4 linked regions of the Saccharomyces cerevisiae S288C genome follow. The gene in region 2 interacts genetically with the main gene of each other region. Each region holds a gene or a part of one and is shown on either strand. Other genes may lie near its edges. The genes, in order: SML1, RAD59, RFA2 and EST2.

Region 1 (4,710 bases), on a different chromosome or scaffold from region 2:
GCACTAGATAAAAATCCAACATAGACATCGCTCTTGGCAACGATATTAACAAATGATTTGTAACCAATTAGAGAGGACAAGTAGCCCACAATACCACCAGATCCTACAGAGTATAACAAATGTTGAGTATGATGAGGATTTTCACCCTTGTGTGAACTTTGGGCTGAAACCTGCTCTGGTTTAGACATTGATGATACTACTGACGAGGACGAATTTGTTGTCACATTAACTTTCCCGGAAATGATATAGAATAGGCCTTTACCACGAGCGTTCTGCTCAACAATTGTGGTGCCCTTTTTAAAGAACTTCAACTGAATGCCTTGTGCAAAGTCTTTCTTGACATCTTCGAAATCCAAATTGGGTGTCAACTCCTCTTTGTAAGCTCTAGGTTTTTTTTTGTCCTGGCTTTTACTTTTATTATGCCTTTTATTGCTGATAGTGTATTCTTTGGGTAGGATTCTTAACATTGTCGGTTGAGTTTGAGGAGAGGCAAATGATGAAGCTACGGAAATGTCAGATGGTGTACAGTGAGGGGACATCAGAAAACTTGCGTTACTTGGACGGCGGCTATACATTTCATTAAGTTGAGGAGAGTTTAAAGAAGACATATTTGCTATCGAAGAAGATGAAACGGACATATTGCTTTTGTTTACACCCAAGTATGTTAACATTGCCTCAACTAAAGCCATTCTTAAAGCAGAGTCCTCGGTTTCTTCCTGGGCAGCAGAAAAGGATGTTGTGGGCAGTAAATTAGGTCTTGGAGAGACCCGTCCCTTCAAATGAACGGGACTTGGGTGGATATGGTCATGAACAGAAGTATTATCCAAGGACAAGGGCGATGTACTAAGTTGTGCGTTGCGCAATTCTGGGGACAAAGAAGAAAACTTCTTAGAGTGTACGGAAGCATTGTTACTGCTACTCCTAGAAGATCGCTTATGTTGGTTAGAGGTAGAAGTGTTAATACCGTTTGATTTATTGCGGTTGTTATTATGGATTGGGTTGGGTGACAGAATATCCATAGTTCTAGACAGTGGGACATTTGACAGTAAATCACCAGGATTAAATTGGTCTCTTGAACCCAGTACGACATGTCTCGAACTTGGATGGTGGGTGAATTCTGGTTTCAGTGAAAGGGAATTCGAACTTGTGTTAGCGTTGGCGTTAGCAATCTTAAGCGATTGAATGATACCATCAGATGGCTTCGCTTTGGGCGGTTTCTTCAATTTAGAGGAAGCATTACTATTTTTGGGTTTCGGTTCTAAATCAGCCGATCCGCTCGACTTATCTACAGTTTTAAACTTACGAATAACGGCCTCTTTCAAATAATAAGGCAATTCATAAACGATGGATTTATTTAGTAAAACTTCGATATCCATGATCTCCTTTGTTAAACCTAAGTAGTCGTGAGCAGTTTGGAACGTAACATGGTATAGCTTGGTGAGAACCATCTGTATGATATGGGAAGCAGACCGTGGGTATTTTGCGGTTAATTTGGCAAACGATTGAGGTGGGATAATACCAATTGTGCAGTCTGTAGCCGCACGGGCGACAAGTTTAGGCATTGAAGAGGGGAACGTTGGAAAGCTGTTGGTGGAGTTTGTCATGGAATCTGTGTTGGAGAAGTTCTGCTCTGATGAGCAGAACATATTGTTGACCGACACCGTTGTGTCTATAGGTGACGATAACTCAGAGGGAAAGTTACTGTTGCCATACGAGGACATGGAATGCGTGAATAAGTTTAAAATGCTCACGAGGGAGGTCAGCGGGTTTCCTGGCTTGACTGTATTTAGCAGTTGAAAATTTCCCAGTCCATTTTTCAGATGAATGTAACCAACGGATTCATCTTCTTCATCGATGAGGTTAGAAGAACAAGATTTGGTGTCGTAGTTATCAATGTCATCATCTTCTTCTTCGTCTTCTTCATCTCTATCCTGGTCGTCAAGACCATCCGTGTCACTGTGGTCAGTTTCATCGCCATGGTCCTTATCTGAATGATCTACTTCATGATATAACTGCAGGGTGCCTTCAACGACGATGGCAAACCCAATAGTACTGTCCAACAGTAAAATCTCACCCTCATCCATTTTTTGAGTTTTCATATTCTTGGTCAGGTCATGGAAGACTGGTTTTTCCAGATAGCCAAAGATTTTGATGGCGCTGAGAAATTGGTCAAGGTAAGATGAAAGAAAGGTTTCGTTTTCGTTGCCATCTTTCAATGAATGCTTTTTTGAGTCTATAATCGAGCTTGCACCCGTGGTAGAGGAACCTATGGCGGGTGGCGCGTTGGCTGACTGAGTGGAAGCTGCATTGATATTGGCGCTGGAGCCAGATTTACCTGTATTTTCCAGCGGCAAGAACTCCGGGGTCAGCCTCTTGTACTGGGATAGAATTCTCTCCTTCATGATGGTGTAAGTCACAAAGACTATGACGGCTAGGGCAAACAGGATCAGCCAAAAGGAAAGAGTGAACTGAACATGGTGTAACTTGAAGAAGATCCACTTCGGAATCCTTAAAAGCGATAAAGTTGCCAGATACCAACCGTACCTGAAGATCATACGAGAGGCACCCATAACAAAGTAGGACACAACCCACGAGAAGTTGAAGAGGGATGAAAGTGACCACGTCTGCGCCTCAGAAATAATCTGGTCGGTGAGACATGTCTGGAATCTATAAGAAGTATAATTACTGGAATTAAAGCTGGAGCCAAGACTGTTTTTCGTGTTTTGGCCGGTATTGTTGGTGTTGTTCGTAGTGCAATTCATTGAACGCATGCAAAAACTAGAGCCAAGCCTTTCTATTCTTTTCTTGTTTATTTTATATTCGTTAGAGTTTTGTGGTGTTTCTTTAACTTAATAAACTTTCGAGAAAAGTGTCAAGTTTCCCAGATTTTTAAGATCCTTATAACCTGTAAAAAAAAAAAAAAAAAAAAAAAAGAAGGGTTTAAATAAAAATCGGACTTACTCAAAGGGTTGAAAAGCACTTTAATATAGGTTTTTAGTTTCGGGTAAGAAGATGTGTCAAAGGTCTCGAAAAGGAAACATTAGGGCAAATACGTAAAGGTTGCCTTCGTATCTCGTTTCCACAGCAACGAGAAACGAGATACGAAGGCAACTGATTCCCAGCATATAAAAGGCCATGAATTTTTGGCGTTTCCTATTGTCTTTTCGAAACTATTTCTTTCATTCCTTTCCTTTCTTGTTCTTTTACTTATAAGAAAAATAATATACGTATATATATAACTACAAACCACATCAGCAATAAAAAAAAACTATATGACCATGGACCAAGGCCTTAACCCAAAGCAATTCTTCCTTGACGATGTCGTCCTACAAGACACTTTGTGCTCAATGAGCAACCGTGTCAACAAGAGTGTCAAGACCGGCTACTTATTCCCCAAGGATCACGTTCCTTCTGCCAACATCATTGCCGTCGAACGTCGCGGCGGTCTTTCTGACATTGGTAAGAATACTTCCAACTAAGAGCATGCTTCTCTTTTTTTTTGTAGGCCAATGATAGGAAAGAACAATAGATTATAAATACGTCAGAATATAGTAGATATGTTTTTATGTTTAGACCTCGTACATAGGAATAATTGACGTTTTTTTTTGGCCAACATTTGAAATTTTTTTTTGTTACCTCGCGCTGAGCCCAAACGGGCTCCACTACCCGCCGCGGTCGCCATTTTGGGAAGTCATCCGTCCCAAAAAGGAAATAGCCATAACATATCGTTACTGTTTTGGAACATCGCCCGTTTCGCCCGATTCCGCCTCAGCGGGTATAAAAAGAGATCTTTTTTTTTCCTGGCTGTCCCTTCCCATTTTTAAATGTCTTATCTGCTCCTTTGTGATCTTACGGTCTCACTAACCTCTCTTCAACTGCTCAATAATTTCCCGCTATGCAAAATTCCCAAGACTACTTTTACGCTCAAAATCGCTGCCAACAACAACAAGCCCCTTCCACATTGCGTACCGTGACCATGGCGGAATTTAGAAGGGTGCCTTTGCCACCTATGGCTGAGGTTCCTATGTTGTCTACTCAAAACTCCATGGGCAGCTCCGCTTCTGCCTCCGCTTCTTCATTAGAAATGTGGGAAAAGGATTTGGAGGAGAGACTCAACTCTATCGATCATGACATGAACAACAACAAATTTGGTTCTGGCGAACTAAAATCTATGTTCAACCAGGGTAAGGTCGAGGAAATGGACTTCTAAAGTTCCTTTCATACTCTTTTCTTTTCTCTTTCCATTTCCCACTAGTTCTGTTCTTTTCTTCTCTTAGATACCCTTCTTTTCAGGGACTCTCGTCCTACTATTGTTGTCATTCTCGAAACATTCTCTCCCGTGCATTTTCCTTTCCCTTTATATACATATATATATATATATATATATATGTCTCTTCTACGTATTTTTGTATTTCTGTGTCTTTATCAAAGATAGTCTATAATACGTTTGATACAGCTAGATATCGCTAGCGCCAACATTGTCCCCCTCTCTTGATCAATGCTTTTTTTCGGCCCGAGACAAATGAGAAAATGTCCTAAAAATACCTTTCATCAAGACTCCTATTTTTCCTTAGAAAAAACATATATCCAACTGGAACAGTATTAAGCCAATTGCTACGATACAAACAAAAGGAGATATTCCTTCCCTCCCATAGAGTCACACAGGAGCCAGTACTTCTTCTTGAACCCGCAATGTCTTCAGACGCTATA
Region 2 (4,851 bases):
CCAGTGAATCTGCCATCGAACGTTTGAAAAGGTATAGAGGTTTGAAAAACTTATACAACTGTGATTGGCAAGTTGATGAAAAGGACCCATCATCACCAGCGGAATGGAAACGTCTATTAAGGATTGGCAATTACAAAAACACTAAAAACAGAATCATAAAGGAAACCAAGAATGAAGCACAGGCCATTGCAGGTGATCGTATTAGGATGTTCATCAGGTTTCCTAAGTTTCTGCTTGAAAAGATTCAAGATCCTAAACAACTATTATTTGCTGTCTACGGATTACTACTTCATGAACACAAAAATGCGGTAGTCAACTTCTCTCTACAAAGATGGGAACAATATGACAAACCTGTGCCTTCTCAGGAGCCTATCGTAGTACAATACGGTGTTAGAAGATACACTATTCAACCTCTATTTTCTCAAGGCTCTAACAGTCCTAATAATGTTCACAAGTATGAAAGGTTTCTGCATCCAGATACAGTATCAGTTGCCACATGTATTGCTCCCGTAGATTTCACCCAGTCACCTGCAATTTTTTTCAAGCCATCACCAACAGATGCCAAAAATATTGAATTGATTGGTCACGGTACATTCCTGAATGCAGACCATTCAAGAATATTAGCAAAGAGAGCCATTTTGACCGGTCATCCATTCAGATTCCACAAAACTGTGGTTACTGTACGTTACATGTTTTTCAGACCAGAAGATGTGGAATGGTTCAAGTCTATCCCACTGTTCACCAAATCAGGTAGGTCAGGTTTCATTAAAGAAAGTTTGGGTACGCATGGTTATTTCAAGGCTACATTTGATGGTAAATTATCTGCGCAGGATGTTGTTGCTATGTCCTTGTACAAACGTATGTGGCCCATGCCTTCGTTACCTTGGAATGGTATGTAAAGTGATAAAAATATACACGTATATATATATATATATATATATATAAGTACGTGAGATCTATTTGTATAATATAATGCTAATAAAATAGTATCAACGATACTGTTGATAAAGGTAAGTCGATACCTGTTCCGTTCGCATCAAATACAAATGCCACTTATTTTGTAGAGGTATTAATGCATTATGTGAAAATTATGACTTTTTATCAAGCAAAATAAATTTGCTACTTGTGCCCTTTTTCTTTCTTTTTTTTTTTATTTGATATGCGTGCCTTTAGCATCCTCCAATTTGATAAAAGTCGGCTTGCTATTAGTCGCTGACAATAAGTTGTAATTGGTGTTAGCTTCATTTTTAATTTTTTTTGAGCCATACAAGCCATCGACATAGTAATTATTTGTAATCTTAGTCTCATAATCGAGTATGATTTTTTCAAAGCTCAATAACGCCTTCTTTAACGCATCGCCTACAGCCTCTTTTTTCGACCTGTTATAACATTCACCTCTCGAGGACAAAGTAATTCTACCTAGCCCACCACACTGTGTGTTGGTGCCATCCTTTAAGGTAACCTTTACTTGGGCTTCTGCCACAACTGTATACTTGACCTCACTAGTGTTGGTGTTTTCTCCATTATTTACTGCGGTGAAGGGCTGGCACTCCCGGGCCTCAACATCTATAACATCCATTCGCCAACCATCATACCCGAATGTTTCATTAGCGAACTGAATGAGAGCATGCCCTGGTATCAGCTTAGATAAGTTGTGCTTCCCATATTTATTATTGTGGTAAATATTGTACGTGTACCTTTCGATCTTGGACTGTAGAAGCCCAATCCTCTGCACCGACCAAGCGCTGGCAGGTCTTCCATTCCAATCTTCGATGATTTGGAACTCTTTTATATCCAAGCCCGGTGCTGTGCCGTATGTAGTCGAATCATACGATATGCTCGAACTGGGCTTCGCTTGTATCGTCATTATTTTGTCTGTTTATCCTGAAATATGCTCTTCTCCTCTACGTAACCCTTTAATGGTCCAAAGCATGTGCTAAACTGCCACAGACTCCCTCAATGATGTTCTTATCCTTCCTTGCCGTTACTGCTTCCTATCATATCTGCCCTTGCCAAACTGTGGCTTCCTCTAATCAATTTGCCCCAGTACATTGAAAAGCACGTGACGTGACACCAACTTGAAAGACATTAGTGTCCAACGCGATATAATGGTCAATAAAATACCCAATTTTATCAAGTGAACATGATATTATTCAATACTATAGTACTTTAAAGAAAACTTCAACAAGTTGCTTCATTGCTATATTATACAATTATGGGTGATGCCGGTCGGCTAACCTTTCTTTCGCAGCGCCACATACAAGAACATATGGTAATTACTAAGAACTTTTTGGAAACTATTTCCATGAAGAAAACAAAATTTACTGGCTTCTGTCTTCGAAGTAAATTTAGCGAACTTGATACTTTCGTTTGGACAGTCGTTTAGATTTGCAACTGTCTGTTCTTATTTCTTGCTATTATTACCAGAAATAAAGCCTAAAGCGCGTGGTTCTTACGAAAAAAATAGACCTTGCACATTAACAGGGTTTAGACATCACAGAGACTGAATACTGGAGAGAAGACAATTCTTGTTCACGACTTCGAGTGATTAATATCTATAACAACCCTCCTATCAAGAATGGACATCATTCAAGGACTGATACAGCAACCAAAAATTCAATCTGTGGATGAAACCATTCCGACGTTGTGCGATCGAGTTGAGAACTCCACTTTGATTAGCGATAGGAGATCCGCTGTGCTGGGATTAAAGGCATTTAGCCGGCAGTATAGAGAATCAGTGATTGCATCCGGGCTAAAACCGTTGCTCAATACTTTGAAACGTGATTATATGGATGAAGATTCGGTAAAGGCTATATTAGAAACAATTTTGATTCTTTTCATCAGAGGCGATGGCCATGACGACTTAACTAGAGGTTGGATTTCTCAACAATCGCGGTTGCAGAATGGCAAGTATCCCTCACCATTGGTGATGAAGCAAGAAAAGGAACAAGTAGATCAGTTCTCGTTATGGATTGCTGATGCTTTGACGCAGTCTGAAGATTTAATTCACCTACTTGTTGAATTTTGGGAAATCGATAATTTCCATATTAGATTGTACACAATTCAATTACTAGAGGCAGTGATGGCCACGAGGCCGTTGAAGGCGAGAAGTGCTTTGATTTCACTTCCAACGAGCATATCCACAATGGTCTCACTCCTAGATGACATGCATGAGCCCATCAGGGATGAAGCTATTTTATTATTAATGGCAGTAGTGAACGATTCACCTCACGTTCAAAAATTGGTTGCTTTTGAAAACATTTTTGAAAGGCTCTTTTCCATCATCGAAGAAGAAGGTGGGTTAAGAGGCTCTCTCGTCGTCAATGATTGTTTATCGTTGATCAATAACATCCTGAAGTATAACACTTCTAATCAAACTTTATTCCTTGAGACAGGAAACTTGCCAAAACTGGCACACCTTTTGAGTGAACCAATATCTCAAGATGAAGTTTTTTTTTGGAATGATCAAAGGATAGTTAATATCAATACAGCTTTAGATATCGTCAGCCTAACAGTAGAGCCAGGAAATACTGTCACCACTAAGCATCAAAATGCGTTGCTTGACTCAAGCGTATTAATGGTTGTGTTGCGACTTGCATTCTTTCATAATATCCCAAAAAAAGTTAGACCGGTTGCTCTTTTGACTGCCGCAAACATGGTTAGAAGTAATGAACATGCACAGCTAGAGTTTAGTAAGATCGATGTTCCATATTTCGATCCTTCATTACCTGTAAACTCTACTGCAAACGGTGGTCCAATTAAATTAATTCCTGTAGTCAGCATCTTGATAAATTGGATGCTCTATGCCAACTCCGTTCACACGTTTGATACAAGAGTTGCGTGTTCTAGACTATTAAAGGCTTATTTCATGGATAATTTTGATCTTCAAAGAGATTTTTTACTAAAACAAGTCCAATTGTGTAATAATTCAACAAATAATGTCGGCGACAATGCTAAAGAAAATGGTGGTTCTAACAAATCTGATAAAGAAAGTGATTCAGATAAAGATACCGACGGGAAGGATGGCACTGAATATGAAGGTTCTTTCAAGGCAAATCTATTCGAAGTCCTGTTAAATTATGACGCAGAATTGAATCTGAACCCTTTTAAATTATTCTTCACAACTGATATTTTTATGTTTTTTTTCCAACAGGATCACAAATATAGCGAAGAACTACGTGAAATAACAAGAAATGTTACCACCGGTAACGATCTCGAAGACGAAGAACCCTTAAAGGCAATTCAAACAATAAGTGAATTGCTAACTACTTCCCTTACTGCTGCTGACATAAGAATTCCTATTTCCTACTTAACGTTCCTAATATATTGGCTCTTTGGCGACTTTAAGGCCACGAACGATTTTCTTTCGGATAAATCCGTGATTAAATCCTTGCTTTCCTTCTCTTACCAAATTCAAGATGAAGACGTTACTATCAAATGCCTTGTAACAATGTTACTAGGTGTGGCATACGAGTTTTCCTCGAAAGAATCTCCATTCCCAAGAAAGGAATACTTCGAATTCATCACTAAAACTTTGGGAAAAGACAATTATGCTTCTCGAATCAAACAATTTAAAAAAGATTCATATTTCTCAAAAGTTGATATGAATGAAGACAGTATACTAACTCCGGAGCTTGATGAAACTGGTTTACCAAAAGTTTATTTCAGCACTTACTTCATACAGTTATTTAATGAAAACATATACAGGATCAGAACTGCATTGTCTCACGACCCTGACGAAGAGCCAATCAATAAAATATCTTTCGAAGAAGTCGAAAAATTACAGAGGCAATGTACAAAATTGAAGGGTGAGATAACTTCTTTGCAAACAGAAACGGAAAGCACCCATGA
Region 3 (5,175 bases), on a different chromosome or scaffold from region 2:
CGAATCGCTAGATACTCCAATGGAATTCTTACCACTATTTCTAAAGAACGAAGATAATGAACTGTACAGTTTACAGTCTCCTATCACTGCACTTACTTTAGATTCATGTGATGTAGTTCCTGGAAATGGAATATTACGTTTGTTTCACTCTTACTTTAAAATGGTCAAACATCTATCCTTACTGAAGATTAACAGTAAATTCGACTTATTGTTATGCAGTTGTTTCCCATCGTTATCCAATCTAACAATTGATTGTAATAGCAAATGTTTCACTAACGAACAGGTAGTCGGCGAATCATATTATTTCCAACAGCGAAGTTTGGATACAGAAGATGATTTTGATGACTGCAATTCCATGACAGAAACATTATTTGAAGCGCCATCAGATTCGAAGATAATTACTCCTCCGCCGACATCTTCAGTTGTATTGTCCTTAAATCTGAACTATATTTCTAGAACTACAGGAAATGATGTTTCAAATAACCCATCACCAGACAATAACAAAAAGCCCGCCATGTTAACTGCGGCACAGCTACAAAATTTTCAACGACAAAGAATCCCTGAATTTCATTCTTTCTACCATTATTACCGCTTACTTTGGGAGAGACTTCCAAGTAAAAATATTTCTATTAACGTAATCAATATCCCCTTTACCAATGTGTATCCTTTATCCCCTCTATCGTTTTGGGAACATCTAGCAAGAACAATTACTAGTGTTGATGAGACAGATGAGGATGTTGGCGACGAGAACGATCAAGAAACATTAATCGGTTACGAAAATAATTCCATAAGAGATAACATACCAAATGCTAATGCAGTTCCAAATTTAAGTACAGTAATGAGCCCTGAATCAGACATTCACCACACTTACTATTGGAACAACTCTGTAAGGCGTTGCCTAAGAGATAGTTTAATCAAATTGAAGAACCGAACCATCGAATATAGAGATTTAGATGTGGAGGAGTTCTTACAAAATGTGACATTGGAAAATTTTTTCAATGATTTCCAAGATCCAGAGAATTTTAAAGATATTCCAAATATTAACCTCTGGTGTTTCCTGAGAAATTTGTCAAAATTCAAAGCTGTCAAAATAAGAATGCTGAGACATTTTTCATTATGTACACCTAGAACCAGATACGACTGGGAACTATTATTGAAGCCCGTACTGCGTGTAAATGTTCCCATTGAAGTCAGAGATAAGGACGGATTCGTTCTTTATTCTTACGGGCAAAAATAAATGACTTTTTGTAGTGGACTTTATATAGCATATTTATGCAACCAACTTAATATTCATGCATCTTACCCCTTCTTGGAACGGGTTCCATTTTCCACTCTATTTCCGGCAAATTTTGGTACTTACCTAGTAGAAATACACAAACGAATACTAAGAAATGCTAAAAAAATAATCTATATATTTTCATAGGGCAAAGAAGTTATTGTCATCAAAAGTTGGGTAGATAAAACCCTGGTCAGTCAAGGTCGTACAGCAGTTTCTGACGGTAGTTTCATCCAAATTCAAGGATTGCGAGATCAATGGAATGGGAACAGCGAATGAATTAGCGTCTTTGCCCTCACATTGCTTCTTACAAAATTCTAGAATTCTTTGTAACGGACTGGAGCCGGAAGATGTATCGTTATCATCCTTGACAAATAATGATTGCCCATTGTTGTTGGATGCACTCTCCAAAGGTTGTTTCATCATTCCACTGGCTATGGAATGACATTTGATGACTTCCAAGTGATGCGTCAACACTTCATTGAATGAATCTATGGGCTTAATCACCGCATACTGTATATTTTTCTTACCACCAAACTCTTTCAAAGCACCAAAAACTTTTACGTAACCGCCAATTTCAAATTGTTGGGCGACTTGCGAACCATAACCTTTACCAGAAGAGTCATCGTTACCGGCAGCCAAGTCATTTGCATCTTCGCTCCATTTTCTCACTTCTATTTGACCAGTTCCATCCTCAATAGTTAAAAAAATATTTGCAGTATGGTCTGTAATGTTTCTCACCACACCTACAAAACAAACGTGATGAAGTTCTTGGTTATGCGAAACGAAGGGGCCGTCCTGAATATCCTGTTTGGACTCTAGAATTTGTTTGATCGTCACAGGTGTCAAGGTGTTAACTCTAGTGTTAGTTTCCGACTCCCCACTACCTGGGCGGGACTCAGAGTTCTCAAAGCCACCGCCCGTTACTGATGAATATTCGTTATATGGTTGATAGGCTGTATTGGAATCCCATCCATTGTTAGTAATTTTAACATTCGCCAATAAAAATAAAAAAAATGATGCAGAAAAGAGCAAATCCTCCAATTCCTAGCACTAATACATACTTGCCATTATGTATATGCTTAAACTAGCCTGTTCTAGATAGTCGCTATCGATTTTGCCACATTACTTCCACCTTAAGTTGATATAATATTGCTTATTATAAAGGAAAGAACGCGTTTCCTAACGCGTTTCGTATATGGCGATAATTATCTAAGAAACTTCGCATCGTGAAAAAAAAGATGAAAATTGAAAATGGAAGCTCATCGAGGCCAAAGGAATTGCTAAAAAGAAGCTATCAGACCAGGCAAAAAGTAAACTAGTGGTTGCAAAATTATGGAGACGTTATTGCATGCAAAATTATTGCTGTCTGCAGAAGTAGAATCTCTGAAAAGTGGTTCTTTCGACCAGACATATGTGAAAAAGGCTGAACATATCATCAGTGGTGAATCATACCAGCTAGTACAGCAATTTGTGGACAAATTTAAGGGAAAAATTAGTATTTCGGGAGAAATATCCACATCTAGTGTTATTGCTGCTCTAAATGACTTTCTTAACGTTGAGGTTTTCAAAATGGGCCAAGAAAATGAGATGCTATTTTTGGCTATTGCCCTCTTACAGACCTTTATTCAAAATAACTACACCGGCCCAGCAGCTAGGTTGAAAGCAATCTCAGGTTTGTTTGGCAAAACTGGAATTGAAATAGGAGCAGTTAATACAGCCCTTTCCCGCTCATTAGCCATTATGGGCCAGCCTGCCTACGAATTTATGGATGATCCATTGTATTTGGTTTTATCACTATTATTACTTGAAAGGATAACCGGCCAAAAAAGCTTATTTGATGTTACCCCGGATCAAGAAATTCCGCTACCTATTATCTCTGCTGAGTCTACTCCTGGATTATTAGCTGTAGCTTATTGGTGGTGGGCAAGAGCTCTTTTGACGCAATTGTCACTGATTCCAGAACCTTCTGGGTTCCAAGCTAGTGTTGCATCTGCAATATATCAGTCTGCTGACCTTGCATATGCGATAACTAAGGAATTACCGGAGAGTATTCACGAAGATTTCAAAAGAGAACTTTGTGCAATGTACTATCTAGAGAATGTCAAATGTTCATTGGCCATCAACACAGAACATTTGTGCCTGCCATCCTTGACCAGAGCGAAAAAGATAACAAATTTTGAATTTGTAATGACGGGTGCACGCGCTACTAGAACTAAATATCAGCAAAAGGCTCATGCCGGTTTGATCATTCTTGCCAAATCCTTCACATTTCAAAATTTTGCTTTGAGAACGACATCTGCTACACCAGAAACATTTGCTTTAGAGTCCGATCTATTATTGGAGAAGCCTCATTTTGAGTCCATTGCTGATGAACCTCTAGACGAGCAAATTTATAGTAAAAGACAAAAGGTAGACCTAAATGAAGGTTATGAAGAAGATAAACTATTGCCATTGGCACTACGTCAAGAAAATATTCCAAAGTTGTTGCTGGATTTGAACCCTAACGATCAACCTACCCTATCTGATTACGACAACATCCAGTTGCTGTTACGTCTTTACACCATAAAGAACACAACTCCGGCCAAGGATCCTCTTGTGGAAGAAGAACTTACTGCTTTGCTTTCTAGAATATTATATCAAAACGGTGACAAAAATTGGTCTATTTTCGCCCGATCATTATGGGAAAGGTCAATTATTGAGACAACAAAGGCTAAAACTATTGAAAGAGGACTTTTACAAATGCAATCCCTCGTAGAAGAATTGGATTTGAAGATTAAGAGTAAATTGGTTCCAAGTTCAAGCGAAATCAATGTTGCTAGCAGGCTGTCATACATCCACCAGCTGCCGTTCATCCCTAGGTGGCAATTGGATGCCACCTTAGCTGAAAAATATATGTCGCTGGGTATTTTGAAGTCCGCTGTGGAAATTTATGAAAGACTTGGTATGGCATGCGAGACTGCATTATGTTATGCCGCTGTTGGAGATGAAAAAAAGGCAGAAGAAATCCTTCTTCAAAGAATAAATGAAAATGATTCGGATGCCAGGGCTTACTCCATTTTGGGTGATATAAAACAGGATCCATCCCTATGGGAAAAAAGTTGGGAGATTGGAAAATACGTCAACGCAAAAAATTCCCTTGCAAAGTATTACTTTAATCCTCCTCCAAAGTCTGGAGCACAACCAAATTACTCTGCTACCTTGAAACATTTAAATGACTCGTTAAGGCAATACCCATTAAGCTTTGAAACGTGGTATTTTTATGGTTGCGTTGGATTACAATGTGGTAAAATGCAGATAGCTGCGGAGGCATTTACCAGATGTGTTTCATTAGACCCTTATCATGCTCTTTCATGGTCAAATTTGAGCGCTGCATATACGAAAATGGATAAATTGAAAGAAGCTTATAGTTGTTTGAAAAGAGCCATTTCATGTGACGCTCAAAAGAACTGGAAAATTTGGGAGAATTACATGCTTGTTGCTGTTAAGTTGAATGAGTGGGAGGATGTCTTAACTGCATGTAAACAATTAGTCAGTATTAGGAGGGACAAATCTGGCGAAGGTTCCATCGACTTACCAATTATTGAAAAACTAGTAGAACTATTAGTGACTAGTGAATATCCAGAGGAGCCGCAGCAATTATCTTATTTTCAAAAGAGCTGTACTGAGTTTATCTGTAACACTTTACCTCAGGTAATTACAACCAGTGCAAGATGTTGGCGACTGGTCGCAAGAGTAGAACTTTGGAGGAAGAGACCATGGGCCGCCCTAGAATGCCACGAGAAGGCTTATAGGGCCATTTCTCACAATCCTGATTTAGAAGTTGAAGAAAAGGTTTGGAATGATACAGTGGATGCTTGTGAAGATTTGGTGGCTGCCTATGAATCACTTGGTGAAAT
Region 4 (7,014 bases), on a different chromosome or scaffold from region 2:
AGTCAGCAGAGGCAACATTGACAAAACCAAGAACTAATATTAAACAAAACCTTAAATCTAACAATGCTCCAAACGCATCTGATGATGATGATGCACTTTCACAATTGAAGAAGGGAACTAATTTACAAAGGAGAGCCTCAAAGAGATACTCTGCCTACCATATGGCTAAATTGACAAATCAGTCTACAACAGAAGCTGCTGCGGCTGCCGGCCTCATGACAACTCCTTCACCCTCGATGTTGCATCTAGAGGAAACCGTAAGAAAGTCAAAGTTATACGGAAATAACAACAATGATGATGATAGAAACATTAATTCAGCTGAAAATAAGGGTAAAAGCATTGACGATGTATCAAAGGCGAGTCCATTGGCGAAAACGCCATTGCCTATTGAGAATGTTCGTGCATCTCCACGAAGATTATCAAGCGTTGTTACAACTTCGCCAGATAAAGCCATGAATGGAACTTGTCCAGTATTTTTAAGGATAGGAGACAAAACAAAGAAGTGTCATGTGCAACTGCCTACTACAAAAAACGCATTAAGGCTCCTATTTATTGAGCGCTTTGCGTATTCTCCTGGAGCAAATTCCTTCCCAGACATATATATTATGGATCCTCAATATGGAGTATTCTATGAATTAGAGGAACTAAATCTTCTCGATATTAAAGAAGGGTTTGTTATCGAGCTAAAGCTCGAAGAGAATCCAAATAATACGATCAAGGAATTCATTGACACAGTTAAGATGGAGATATCGAATAGTCAGAATGATATAATAAGACATTTAAAAGAAATGAGTTTTGGTTCTGCAATTAGCGGCAAGCAAACGGAAGTTTTACCACAACCTGGCCTTGAAGCTAACAAACACGATCTTGTGGGGCAAAACAAAAAAGATGATGATAAAACGATCAAAGATATTCAGTACGAATTGGGGAAAATAAAACAAGTGCATAATATTAATAGGTCAAATATTAATGAGACTATTTTCAACATTTTACGAAAGGTCGATAACTTTAAGTCTTTATCATTTTCTGCCAAAAACTCTTCCAACAGAATGTACATGGAAAAATCACAGACCGAACTCGGTGATTTATCCGATACTCTGCTAAGTAAAGTAGATGATTTGCAAGATGTAATCGAAATTATGAGGAAAGACGTTGCTGAGCGTAGGTCTCAGCCCGCTAAAAAGAAGCTAGAAACCGTATCCAAGGATTTAGAAAATGCCCAAGCAGATGTACTTAAACTACAGGAGTTTATTGATACTGAAAAACCACATTGGAAAAAAACTTGGGAAGCTGAGCTCGATAAGGTCTGTGAAGAACAACAGTTTCTCACGTTGCAGGAAGAGTTGATTTTAGATTTGAAGGAAGACTTGGGTAAGGCATTAGAAACTTTCGATCTTATTAAGTTATGTTGTGAAGAACAAGAAAAAAACCCTTCGAGATCAAAAAGTAATCCTATTTTGCCTATTATGAGACCGGGCACATTTAATCAGGTAAGGGAGCAAGTTATGGTGGCCGTCCAATCTTTAAACCCTGACCACGATAGTAGGGTCGAAGCTATTGACAAGGCTGAGAAGATGTGGGAGATGGAAAGAAAACTTAAAGCTAGTAATGAATTTGATGATGAACTGGAAAATTTTGTGGGTAATTCAAACCTGAAAAAATCGGGAGGCTTTGAAGAAGTAGAAAGGATAAGAAAGCAGAAGGATGAAGCAAATTTGAGAGCATATTTTGGGCCGGGGTTTACTTAAATACACTAATTTTATGAAAGCTAACGGAAAAGAGATTAGTGCTTTTGGCTTATTACAAAGTTTGCGGCAATATTTTCCTTATCAGCATCATAAGCTGTCAGTATTTCATGTATTATTAGTACTAATTAACTATATGTATATATATATATATATATGCTTGCAAGTGTTGAATTTCCTTTCTCAAAAGAATGATATTATCTTTAAATTTTGATGTGTTTGAAGATAGGCTTTCCAAAAATCCATTCAATATGGTGAATCGTACCTCATACTCGATTAAAGGATCACATTTCGTAATTGGACAACCGCTGACTGTCATTTCAATGATGCGTTGTAAGAACGAATGAAATTGCATATTTTGCGTAACATTAATTGATAGATCCTTAAAAGCAGATTTATAACATTCCGAAATGTTCTTTACAACATGATCAATTTGCATGAGAACGGTGTTTGTTGAATTTAAATTTGTGTCAATTGTTTTATAAGAGATTCTAGTGTTAAACAGCGCTATTAAACTTCGAAATATCCCTTTACTAGATTTCGAACGGATATGGAAATTATTCATTGTGCTTGAATGTTTCCAAACTTCCAATTCTTTAACAAATATGTGCATTGCACAAAATTGAATAACCGTATCATCATCTGATTGGGAGCTTACGGCTAAAATTTTGTCTCTATTGGCTTTCGCATTATATTTTTGAAATCCGCCCATGGCAAGCTTTTTGATATTGATCACTTGCTGTTGGTCTGTTGATATTATAAGGAAATCGTCAGCCAGTTTTAAAATTAATGTGTCCTGGCTAGGACTGGCTTTAAACTCGCTATAAAACTCCAGAAGATCGTCATACACCAAATCAACGATCGGAGCAGATAAACTAGAGCCCTGAAAAAGACCATCTTCTCTAATGTAGCACTTATCTTCAACCCACAAAGCTGTTTTAAATATTTCCATCTCTACAACGTTTATAACATCCTGATTTGATAAATGAACCGTCCTCACATTATCTATGTATAGCTCATAAGGTTTTGGTACTCTGCTAGCGTTAACAACATTAAATAACTTCAATACACCTGTATTGGTATTGAAGAAATATTGAGATCTAACGAAAAACCCATTTTCATTTTTTAGCGCATCCTTGAGTATCCTCATACATTCCATCCTTGGTATGGAATCATAGCAAGATTTGACATCAAATTTCATGAAATAAAGCTCTGGTAAGACATTATTAAATTTCTTTAAAAGTCTCTGCTTAAATTCTTTGATACGGTCAGCTATTTGCGTTGGAGAATATATTTTAGTAAAACTAGTCGGCCTTTTGTTTCTTAGGTATTCTAAAATTTTTTGAGTGGGCTGGATAGCATTTTTGTGATTCTCCTTATAAATTGTGAATTCTTCTTCGTCTGCCCCTCTGCATGGGATGGCAATAATCCTGAACTCATTATTACTTTTTTTTGGTATAATCCTCATTTTGCTATGATTGAAATTGGACAACGTGTAACTATTATGGTTTCTACATACGTTGTTTTCGACTAAGTACGTCTTAAAATATTCTACGATAAAAGGGGTGATAAGTTTATTCCAAGTATCATGTCTAAAGTAAACAATTGTCACTGTAGAAGATATTTCGGTGCAGTAAAAAAAAGTCTGTATAATTTTGGGAATTAGTTGTCTAAATAGCCAGGAAATGAAACAAATCGCCAATTGATTCAAGTTTTCAAAATTGTGCTTGGTGAACCAAATATCAGAAATGAACAACCACCGAAAATCCTTTAATCTTAACTTTTTCAACAAACTATCAAATGGTAAATAGCCATTTAAGGGTAAACTTAATAAAAGATTTAGATTCTTGATAATTTTTCCTTTATTTTTCTTTGAGCCAAACATTTCTTGGGGTAATAACTTCTGTAAAATAACAATGATAAATTTCAAGACTCGTTCCTTTGGTGATTGCCTACTCAAATGCGACAAGTCCAATACGGTCCCTTCCAATGGTGGGCAAATACTATTCAAAATAGAAACGTAATTCAAACGCTTATGTCTCTTTAATAGCTTTTGCAGCGTCAAATTAATTCGTACCTTTAGTCTCTGAGGAATTTTAACCAAATTTGTGGGAAAAATAGCTTCTCTCAAGTCAGTTAGCTTTTTGATAGATGATGATGAAGGAAGGATCTTGCTATAAGGAAAAAAAGAAGAGGAATTTATATTGAGCTTGTGTAAGAATTGTTTATTTGTCACTGGTTCTGTAAGTTGTTTGATTTGCGCAGCAGTTGCGGATGATGAGGATGATCGTTGAGCCCATTTGGGCGGCAGATGAGGTTCGTTACATCTGTTACCCACGATTTGAGTGAAAAACTGCCCATTAAATTGAATTACTGTATAATTGATCAATAAATCAACGAATGCGTATGTACCGACCAAACTGTGGAACATTTTCCAAGCAGCGCCTTTCAGTAACGTAACGTTAACATTTGCAGAATGGCAAAAAAGACTATTGTTGACATCTTCATTTCTAGCTATTTTATAGCCAAATGTTAGTACGTTGTTGTATAATTCGCCCGTCAACAGGTAAATGATGCAGTGATCAATGACTGCTTTGTGGCTTAAGTCACCAGGAAGGCATGGTAATGCTATTTTTCTTGAATTTGGTAGTGCGAAACACGTAGTTAGAATTTCATCGAGGCCATTGAAGTGACCACATTTTAAATTTTCTTTGTAAGTACTGTTGGTCTGTAGATCAATGTCAAGCTTGTCTTGAATGAACTCGAATAAGATTTTCATGAGTATAAATCAGTTTTTTTTTTTTTTTTTTTTTTTTTAATTTTTCACTTTTCTATTTCACTTGTGTCATTCATTGCCATGCTTTACTTTTTTTCATTCCTAAATGCGAATCACCAATAGCTCATCTAAAGGTATATATTATTCAAACCTCAGAAGGATAATATTCATGAGGGCGTGTTAGTTATGGTTAAGAAAGTTAATAATCCGCTAAAAATCGATTATCAGAACGGGATAATAGAAAATCGGCTTCTGCAAATTAGAAATTTCAAAGATGTAAATACGCCCAAACTAAGTATGTATCTATGAGATCTAACAGAAATCAGGATCAATTAACTAACTTTCAAACATATATAAGTGCAGTCAATGTATGGAGTATAAGAATAGATCCAAGAGACTCGAAGAAAGTAATAGAGTATGTATATGATTTTTGCTTTTGTATTCATGGAAGTAAACTAACTAGTAAAGTAGGCTAATTCGAAACGATTTTCAGAAAAATGACCCTGTTTCATTGAGACATTTGAAAAGGATCCGCAAGGACATCGAGACCTCCACCTTGGAAGTGGTGTTGTGTTCGAAAGAGTATATTTGCGACGAAGGTGAAATAAACAATAAATTGAAGAGTATTTGGGTTGGAACGAAAAAGTATGAACTGAGTGATGATATCGAAGTGCCTGAGTTTGCGCCCAGCACAAAGGAACTGAACAATGCCTGGTCTGTGAAGTACTGGCCGTTGATTTGGAACGGCAACCCCAATGATCAAATATTGAACGACTATAAAATAGACATGCAGGAAGTACGAAATGAGCTATCGCGTGCGTCGACGTTGTCTGTGAAGATGGCAACGGCAGGAAAACAGTTTCCAATGGTGAGCGTCTTTGTTGACCCATCAAGAAAGAAGGACAAAGTGGTGGCAGAAGATGGCAGAAACTGCGAAAACTCGCTACCCATCGACCACAGTGTAATGGTGGGCATCCGTGCGGTAGGCGAAAGACTCAGGGAGGGTGTAGACGAAGACGCAAACTCTTATCTGTGTCTTGATTACGACGTCTATTTGACCCATGAGCCGTGCTCAATGTGCTCCATGGCCCTGATCCATTCTCGTGTGAGACGAGTGGTCTTCCTTACAGAGATGCAGCGCACCGGGAGCTTAAAATTAACGAGTGGTGACGGGTACTGCATGAACGATAACAAACAGCTAAACTCAACATACGAAGCCTTTCAATGGATCGGCGAGGAATATCCTGTGGGGCAGGTTGACCGGGATGTCTGCTGCTAGTTTTCCTCTAATAGATTAATATAAGATTGTATAATTTGTAATAGGCCAGGAATGGCATTGTCTCCTGCACTCGGTGAGCGAACCATATTTTCAAATTCTGCTAGTTCCGAGGTCTTTTCCTGAATAGCATCATCCAGAATCTGCAAACGCTGTTGCAACAGGTCATTAATCTTGTACAGCGCGTCGATCAGTGTCTCGAGGCTAAGGGAGTGTGATAGTTGCTCGCTTTCCAGAAATCGCAGTAATCTAGAGCGCAACGTTATGAAAAACTGCTTGATTCGTGCTTCTAACTCAGAGGTCACTCGCGCATCCCTGGCCTGAAGCAATTCGTACCAATGTTGCAGTTGTTGCTCGTCGCTCGTGTACGACTGTAGTTGCTGCTTGAACTCTTGAAAACTTATCAGAGTAGTGAGTAGCGAATCCGAAACATAGTTATGCAGCAGCTGTTCAGAGTTCATTTATAATGGTAATTTCAAAGCAAGATTGGGAGCACAATTGTCAAATCTATGATTATTTTGTTGCGTTATACCCAGCTTTTGGGCTTTTTCGAGAACGATCTTCGTTGTTTTTCGCTGTTTCTCCGCGAAGCGGGCAGCGGCGACGGTAATATTGGCTGTTAATCTATTGTTATCTTGTAGTTGTACAAGATCATTCCTTTAATTCTATATATTAACTGTTCGTGGCGTAACAAGAAATCGATTCTGACATCAAATGGAAGACATCAGCAGTTACACTAGTGGTGCAGGAAAGGCACCGCAAGGGAGTGCAAGAAGCTGTGAGAAACAACTTTATATAACTTGCTGCTTGATAATTGTGACAGAATATTCTCGCACCTTGCAAACATATATAGCAGCACCTCTAGATTTCTCCTTCCTTCCTTTCGTAAAAAGGAACCACCTGGGCGGCTAATTTAGTATTTTCGTCTTTTATGATCTACGTGTGTAATGATATGGTGGGGGCGTGTTTTCGCTTCCCATTTTTTGCCATTTTTTGTCTCGGTTTTAGGAATTGCGTTTTGTGTTGTTTTGTGTATTAAGTTAAAATCTCTCGAGGAAAGCAGATCAAGAAAATATCAAATCCAGGATCACACGACAACTGAACGATTACATCGGCCTATAATACGTTGCCATGAGTTTAAAGGAGGAACAAGTGTCCATTAAGCAGGACCCGGAACAAGAAGAGCGTCAGCATGATCAATTCAATGATGTTCAGAT

The links.
Region 1: of RAD59 (region 2) and SML1, changing one enhances a phenotype caused by changing the other (phenotypic enhancement), as found in Saccharomyces cerevisiae (one study listed by BioGRID).
Region 3: mutations in RAD59 (region 2) and RFA2 together harm fitness more than expected from each alone (negative genetic interaction), as found in Saccharomyces cerevisiae (3 studies listed by BioGRID, with this or other methods).
Region 4: mutations in RAD59 (region 2) and EST2 impair growth when combined (synthetic growth defect), as found in Saccharomyces cerevisiae (2 studies listed by BioGRID, with this or other methods).

The regions. Positions count from the first base shown.
Region 1 is NC_001145.3:155,488-160,197, forward strand, and holds SML1 (ribonucleotide reductase inhibiting protein SML1), read left to right. Parts: upstream 1-3,895; coding exon 3,896-4,210; downstream 4,211-4,710. Other genes in the region: NTE1 (lysophospholipase), read right to left, coding at 1-2,771; HUG1 (Hug1p), read left to right, coding at 3,273-3,479; CMP2 (calcineurin catalytic subunit A), read left to right, coding at 4,693-4,710. UniProt on the Saccharomyces cerevisiae protein: Strong inhibitor of ribonucleotide reductase (RNR1) and is involved in regulating dNTP production.
Region 2 is NC_001136.10:343,087-347,937, forward strand, and holds RAD59 (Rad59p), read right to left. Parts: upstream 1,868-4,851; coding exon 1,151-1,867; downstream 1-1,150. Other genes in the region: small subunit rRNA maturation protein TSR1, read left to right, coding at 1-899; USO1 (Uso1p), read left to right, coding at 2,579-4,851. UniProt on the Saccharomyces cerevisiae protein: Involved in the repair of double-strand breaks in DNA during vegetative growth via recombination and single-strand annealing. Anneals complementary single-stranded DNA.
Region 3 is NC_001146.8:45,459-50,633, reverse strand, and holds RFA2 (Rfa2p), read right to left. Parts: upstream 2,348-5,175; coding exon 2,341-2,347; intron 2,233-2,340; coding exon 1,418-2,232; downstream 1-1,417. Other genes in the region: putative SCF ubiquitin ligase complex subunit SKP2, read left to right, coding at 1-1,237; tetratricopeptide repeat-containing protein EMW1, read left to right, coding at 2,612-5,175. UniProt on the Saccharomyces cerevisiae protein: Binds to single-stranded sequences participating in DNA replication in addition to those mediating transcriptional repression (URS1) and activation (CAR1). Stimulates the activity of a cognate strand exchange protein (SEP1).
Region 4 is NC_001144.5:764,052-771,065, reverse strand, and holds EST2 (telomerase reverse transcriptase), read right to left. Parts: upstream 4,525-7,014; coding exon 1,870-4,524; downstream 1-1,869. Other genes in the region: BUD6 (formin-mediated actin nucleation enhancer), read left to right, coding at 1-1,748; TAD3 (Tad3p), read left to right, coding at 4,708-4,816, 4,885-4,936, 4,993-5,800; NKP2 (Nkp2p), read right to left, coding at 5,797-6,258; septin CDC3, read left to right, coding at 6,929-7,014. UniProt on the Saccharomyces cerevisiae protein: Telomerase is a ribonucleoprotein enzyme essential for the replication of chromosome termini in most eukaryotes. It elongates telomeres.